Linked DNA regions of Canis lupus familiaris. The protein of the gene in region 2 purifies or fractionates together with the protein of the main gene of each other region. This does not show direct contact. Links are inferred from orthologs where the notes say so. Each region holds a gene or a part of one and is shown on either strand. Other genes may lie near its edges.

The links. The genes of interacting proteins can lie anywhere in the genome.
Region 1: the proteins of RFC5 (region 2) and ATAD5 purify together in Homo sapiens (affinity purification with mass spectrometry; 4 studies listed by BioGRID and IntAct, counting the BioPlex papers as one, with this or other methods). This does not show direct contact. The link is inferred for Canis lupus familiaris from reciprocal best matches to the Homo sapiens genes RFC5 and ATAD5.

What each region holds. Positions count from the first base shown.
Region 1 is NC_049230.1:40,865,661-40,869,316, forward strand, and holds part of ATAD5 (ATPase family AAA domain-containing protein 5), read right to left. Parts: intron 2,961-3,656; coding exon 2,803-2,960; intron 2,193-2,802; coding exon 2,033-2,192; intron 1,600-2,032; coding exon 1,285-1,599; intron 1-1,284. UniProt on the Homo sapiens protein: Has an important role in DNA replication and in maintaining genome integrity during replication stress.
Region 2 is NC_049247.1:14,768,909-14,772,564, forward strand, and holds part of RFC5 (replication factor C subunit 5), read left to right. Parts: intron 1-373; coding exon 374-503; coding exon of another isoform or gene 504-533; intron 534-1,078; coding exon 1,079-1,156; intron 1,157-1,439; coding exon of another isoform or gene 1,440-1,504; exon of another isoform or gene 1,505-1,680; intron 1,681-1,702; exon of another isoform or gene 1,703-1,946; intron 1,947-2,317; coding exon 2,318-2,372; intron 2,373-3,647; coding exon 3,648-3,656. UniProt on the Homo sapiens protein: Subunit of the replication factor C (RFC) complex which acts during elongation of primed DNA templates by DNA polymerases delta and epsilon, and is necessary for ATP-dependent loading of proliferating cell nuclear antigen (PCNA) onto primed DNA.

The sequences.
Region 1 (3,656 bases), on a different chromosome or scaffold from region 2:
AAAGAAAAAAAAAGTACACATTTAGAAGCGCTTGGCTGGCTCTGTGGGTAGAGCATGTGACTCTTGATCTTGGGATCATGAGTTCAAGCCCCATGTTGAGGGTAGAGATTCCTTAAAAAAATTTTTTTAGGGGATCCCTGGGTGGCTCAGCGGTTTAGCGCCTGCCTTCAGCCCAGGGTGTGATCCTGGAGACCTGGGATCGAATCCCACGTCGGGCTCCCTGCATGGAGCCTCCTTCTCCCTCTGCCTGTGTTTCTGCCTCTCTCTCTGAGTCTCTCATGAATAAATAAAATCTTTAAAAATTTTTAATATTAAAAAGATAAATATTAGCACATATTTAAAACTTTAATAATCACTAAAAAAATGAAACATGAAAAATAATGTATACTGTAAGAAATAATCTAAAGAGCAAAGAAAGGCAGGGCAGCTCTGGTGGCGCAGCGGTTTAGCACCACCTGCAGCCCAGGGCATGATCCTGGAGACCCTGGATCAAGTCCCATGTCAGGCTCTCTGTAGGGAGCCTGCTTCTCCCTCTGCCTGTGTCTCTGCCTCTCTCTCTCTCTGCATCTCTATGAATAAATAAATAAAATCTTAAAAAAAAAAAAAAGAGCAAAGGCAGTATAATTTTAGTGTAATTTCCTTTGACTCCTGGAAAAAGAAATTAAAACGACCTACTAAGTCAACTTGGGTAAATGGAGATGTGCTACTCCCATTTGAGAAGACGGAATGTTGTAAAGATGCCAATTCATTCCAAATTAATCTATACACTAATGCAAAATCAAAACCTAAGGGGATTTGTGGGGGTAGGAGAATCTGTAGGTCTTTCAGCAGTACAGCTACATAAACATAGTTTTAAAAAATGATAGGAAATTTGCTGTATAAATATCAAAACACACTTTAAAGCTATATAACTGGATGACTTAATTAATTTAAAAAAATATTTTGAAAAAGCTAGATAACCCAAACGGGAACATGTCAGAGACACGTGAAATAGGTATAAATTGTATAGCATTAAAAAATAATAATGATAAATACATAAAAATTGTATAGTACAATTCCAGGTTTTTAAAAAAACACATATTTACAAAAGCACAGAAAAATCAAAGACCAAACACCAATCTATTAAATGTGTCACTGTGTCAGTGTGTAATTAATAAGGCTTCCACTTTTTGTTTTATATACATATATAGCTTGAATGTTGCAATGAACATGTATTAAAAAGAGAAAATGAAGGGTTAAATAAACAAAAGTGTTGTAGGAGCAGAGAAAGAAGGTCTGATTTACCAGGAATAGGAGATCTTTCTGAGGGAGACTCTTTGCCATCATCTATTATCAGAACATCAGGATCTTCAACTGCTTCTGTTTCTACTTTACACGCTATACTCAAAGTAGTTTGTTTCTTCCTGGATGTTTTAGAAAGGCCTTGCTTTATCCTATTGGAGTTGTTTCTCTTGTCAAGTTCTTCTGGTTTCTCATTTATCTTTTTTGGACTTGGTGAAGACTCATTTGGTTTCTTTCTTTTTGACTTATGAATGTCTGTTTCCACTCGTTTCCTTTTGGTTTCCTTTTGATTGACATCAGGCTCTAGTTGTGGACTTTCTATTTCAGAAATTACAGAAGTGCATGTGCTTACTATTCAACCAAAAACCAATTTTAATATCCAGTCATCTATATATATCACTTCAAAATATCCAATAATTTTTTTACTCCAAGATAAAGAGGTAAGGATCAAATGTGGCACACAATGAATGCAATCAGGACATCTTGTTCTATAGACTGCCTTTTACACAAAGTATGTAAATTCAAATGATCTCACCTAAGGCTTTCCTTAAATGAACTATTAATGTTTTAACCTAATAAAATCTGTCTTTGGGTTTGCATGGTAGGGGCCAACACTGCACTGACCAAGATGCTTTATTCCAGTTGAACAGCTGATCATCAGCAATATTCTCTCTGGACTTCCAAGAGTCAATGACGAAGTCTTAATGTTTTCAAAAGCAAAATGTTAACGTAAATGATAACTGTCACTAACCTTGTTTACGATGACATTCAGAAAGTACTTGGTGCTCACTTCGTTTTTTTAGAAGCAAAGAAAAATATGTCCTCAAAGAAAACTCAGGATTTGACCACCTAATTTCCTCTAGCAAAAGATTTCTTATTTCTTCAGTCATATCTTTCCTTCTGTCCACAAACTGCAATAAAGAATAAAATGCTCAACAACAGACCTACATTATCTATTTTAAGATTTTTTTTTTTTTTTAAGTAATCTCTATGCTCAATATGGGGCTCAAACTCACAACCCTGAGACCAAGAGTTGTCTGCTCCACTGACTGAGCCAGCCAGGTGACCCCTACATGATCTATTAATATTAGTCACCAACCACTTTCTAATAAGTCAGTATTAATGTAGGAGTAGTTTTAGTGACTAAATACAACATTGACAGCAAAGCTGCATTTGCATAGCTTTTGAAGGATTTCATTCATATTTTTATTGTTTCCTCTTTCAACTAACTGTAAGTTATACATTTATCAGATTAGAATGCTGACATATACAATACCTAAATGTGCTATATATAACCTAATATTCTTTTGAAATTGGCTACCATTAATTCTTAAAATGTTTCCAAAGCTGTAGGAATATTTAAAAGAGATGTCTACCTCAACTGGGATTTATTTTTTTAAATTGGACTCTAGGGGAAAAAAAATGAACTTTAGATGACAATAGTCGATATCCATTTTTTTTTTTTCCCCTCTGAGAGATGTGAAGGAAACACCCTACAAAGGATGAGCTCTCTATACTTACCACAACCGTAGAATTAGTAATTTTGGAATTTGAATTCAATGTTGAAAATTCACCAAGAGCAAGAACACATTTTGAGAGATCTATTACTCTAGTATTCAGTTCTTTAAGTTTGGTTAAGAGAGGGCAAGTAGGTGGTTTCAAATGCCACAAGTGGCATCCTAAAGAAAAACAGAAAATAAGTATCTTAATTACTTTCCTTCATATACATTCAATGCCAAATATGCAAACATGCAAAGACCTGACAACTACACAGTTAACACAAAGATACCAAAACTCAAATGACTATACAGGGAACCCATCCTCACTTCCAATAAATACAATTAATAAAAAATTAGTGAATCTTCTGTTCCAATTGTTTAAAATAACCAAGTAATAGCAAACTTTCTTTTCTTTTTTAATCAACCTTGCTATTCAGGGTAAAGATTTCAGGGGCAGTTAGCATCCTGCTCTAAAGTTTAAATTCTGAAGTCAGACCTGGGTTCAAATCCAAACTGTGCCACTTGCTAGCTAGGTGAGCATGAGCAAGATCCTAAACCTTAGCTTTTTCATCTGTAAAGCAGAGGTGACAACTATAATAATCAAAACCTCCTAGAGTGGATATGGAGATTAAACTACTTATGCACACATATGATACTAGTAAATCAGTATGTAATAACTCTTAAGGTTCTAAGAGAGAGATTCTCTCTGGGCTTCCCTCATCTCATCTACAAATATATATGCTAAGTTTGACAGCAGCGCTCTGGTGAAAATGTGTTTATCAATACCAGGGAAGAAGAGTGTAATTAATTTCTATAGTTGAATATAGTAATACAAATGCTGTATAAAATTAACTGGTGAAAGTAACAAGACAAGTT
Region 2 (3,656 bases):
TGCTGCTTTGGAAGAGTTCTAGGTAGGCAGCAGCACAGCCAACCTACAAATTCAGAAATCTAGAGAGCGGTAAGATCTCAATTTCATCATGTACCAACAATCCCCCCCCCCCCACCTTTGGGTTTTAAATAATTGAAAGAATAACGTGCTGCCAGTGAGGGAAAGCTAGGGCAGGACTCTGGCTGGCACACAGCAGCGGCATCTTCTCATGCTTCCAGCTGAGGCCAAGTCTTACCAGGTAAACTGTGCAGCGTTCGAGCTGACCTGTGCCCAGTCACTTTACTGCGCATGTGCAGTGCTGCCTCAGCTTCCTCCTGATCCGCCTGCACCGTGGTGGCTGCCGTGACAGCCACGATACTCCCTCTTTGCACAGAGCACCAATATGGCCTTCGGGAAGGTGACAGAGGAAACGGTCTACACCTGTACCGGGCACCCCCTCAAGTCAGACATTGCTAACATTCTGGACTGGATGTTGAATCAAGACTTCACCACAGCCTACAGGAGTATCCTTCCTTGTGTCCTGCTGACAGTAGGTGCTGTATCTCAGGCCCAAGTGTGACCTGGGAGCCCAGGGTGCAGCCAGTGCCTGCACCCTGCTGGCTAAACACGGCTACTCCAGAGGCTGGTCGGCTTGCTGTGGATGAACGGTGTCTGTGGGTGGAGTGGGTCCTGTCTTTAATGCCCTGAAGTTCTTCCTGAAGGAGTGTGACATAGGTCTGTCTTGAAGCCACCTTCCTCACAGAGGAGAGCAGCAGTCAGATCTTGGGGTGGCAGGTGTTACTCTTGTTTTGCTGTGAAATTAAAAGCCAGGGGCAGTGATAGGAAGCCTTCAGGGGAATGGGTGGGCTCTGTTCTCTACTAGGCAGAGACACAGTTCTGCCAGAAAGCCCTTGTGGAAAATGGGAAACATGGAAAAGGTAACAAGTGGAGTCCACCTCATGCAACTTCAGATTGAGAGAAACCACTCTGTTGGTTGGGGCTAAAAGCCCTCCTTCCCACTCACCGGAATCTGGGTTCAGAATTCCATGGTGTGTGTTTGTTCTGGAACCTGTGCCCTCTGCCTTAACTGTTCCTCTAGATATAATGGAGTTGAAAACGCTGAAGGGCTTGGCACTCCATGATATCCTGACAGAGATACACTTGTTTGTGCACAGAGGTAACTCTCGTTCTTCCCTAGTTGAGATGGGAGAGGAGGCGAGTGGAGTTAAGGGTGGGAGGGAGGGAGGGAACATGAGGCTTCGCTTTTGAAGCAAAGAGATGAGAATGAAGTATAAACCCTGGCCCTGCAGTCAATTTTCTTTAGTATTTAAAACTGTTCCAAAACTACTCTTAACCTCTAAAGCTCCTGAGGGAAGAAGCTCCAGAGGGCTGACTTTATTTCCTCCAAGGGTTTAAATTTTACAGCAGTAAAATAGTACATTTCATTCACATTTCTAAAGGTATTTTCCCTCAAAAGGAGAGAAAGAGAAGGAACTATCTTCAATGTAAACCAGAGCAGTCTTAACTAAACCATCTTAAGTTGCACACTTGGCCGTATCTACCATACAGAGAACTGGTTCTCCACCTTGGCAGCACATAGTAGTCATCCCAGACCAAGTCACTTGGCCTTTTGGGGGGAACCAAGCAAGCATCAGGATTTCCTCAGGCTCTCCGGGTGGTCTGTTCCGAGGCCTCTTCCATCAGGCTCTTTCCTCTGCCACAGCCAACTGCCGACAGGTCCATGGCTTGTTCTGCCAGTGCCTCCGTGGGCCTCCCCAGGGCCAAGCAGCAGGTTGATCGCTGCCCAAGAACATGGTCGGCTCAAGCCCAGCTCTGCACTTTGATTGTGGAAAATGAATACTTACAGATCGATGGATTTGTTTTTAAAACCTACCCTGCTGCTAAAGCAGCGTGGTTGACTCTTCCCTGTGTTCTTGTGATTGCTTTGGAACCTGTTCACCAAATAGGTAAAAACTGAAAACTCCTGCAGCGATCACTTCCTTAGAGGTATGGCACCTAGTGACCTCAGGCCTCTAGACAAGTTTTTTTTTGTTGTTGTTGTTTTTTTTTTAATTTTTTTTAAATTTATTTATGATAGTCACAGAGAGAGAGAGAGAAGCAGGCTCCATGCACCGGGAGCCCGACGTGGGATTCAATCCCAGGTCTCCAGGATCGTGCCCTGGGCCAAAGGACGGCGCCAAAACGCTGTGCCACCCAGGGATCCCCCTCTAGACAAGTTTAGTGTCTCCTGCTGTTTAAGTTCATAATTGTGTGTTTGGTTTTGTTTTAGTAGTAGGGGATGGCAGACCCTTGTTCACTCAGTTTTGTTTTTCCCTAGTTGACTTTCCATCTTCGGTTCGAGTACATTTACTGACCAAAATGGCAGACATAGAGTGAGTAAACCCCAATTTTGATTCTTTTCCCTTTTTTACCCTGTTGTGTTTTTTTTCTTTTTTTTTTTCTGCCTGGTTGGTTCCAACTTGCTTGTCTGCATCAATCCCCTGTGGTACAATCTAGTTTTTGGTGGGATCACTGAAAGAAACAGGAACGGTAGGATTTGCTTAAAGAACATGAATAAATACAAGGACAGGTTCAGCTCAGTTACATATTGTAGATAAAGGCCTCTCCTTACACCTCAAAGGCTTAGAGTCCACGTTGGTTCTAGAAGAGCCACTTGTGGGAGGCCCGCAGCTGTTACAACATCTCGGTTATTCAGGGACAACCAGCCATCCAGCTGTTATGAAAGCATTTTGGCATAGCAAACCATACTGGGGGGAGAGTAAACATAAATTCTGTTTTCCACTTTGCCTGGTTCCATAAATGCAGGTATTTGCCCCAGTGAAGCTAGCAGCTAGTATTTAGGTGGAGAGGAGCACTGGGTTTGAAACAGACACCAACAGAGAATCAACTCTAATTTGCTGTCATTGGCCTTCACATGCACACATTAGGTCACCACTTCCATGTAATGAGTGTCATGATTTTGCCTCCACTGACTAGGCACTTGAAAGGTGGCAAGATGGGGATGCCTGGGTGGCTCAGTGGTTGAGTGTCTGCCTTCAGCTCAAGGGCGTGATCCCAGGATCCTGGGATCGAGTCCCATATCAGGCTTCCTGAAGGGAGCCTGCTCCTCCCTCTATCTATCTGTGTCTCTCATGAACAAATTTAAAAATATATAAGTTTTTAAAACTTATAAAAAAGAGGAACAATTTCTCTGAATGCATTTTGTGAGTGAAGAAGTAAATCCTTATCATGTAAATTCTGTGTATGTCTATAGAGCCAGCATGAAGTTCAGTTCAGAACACTGTCATTGATAACTATCAATTTTTAATTTCCCCTTACCATTTTTTAAAAGATTTTATTTATTCATGAGAGAGAGGCAGAAACACAGGCAGAGAGAGAAGCAGGCTCCATCCTAGGTCACGCCCTGGGCTGAAGGCTGTGCTAAACTGCTTGAGCCACCCAGGCTGCCCTCCCCTTACCAGTTTGAATCGAATGTATAAATGAGAAGAAAACGTTAGGGCACATACTGAAGATGACTGTCTGGGATGAAGCTTTATTACCTGCTTTTCTCTAGCAAACTGTTCCACCTTCAAACTCTATCATTCTGTTGTCAAAAGGTAGCTGTCCATAATATTCCATATTCTTACCTTTCGTTTGCTTTCTCTTAGGTACAGACT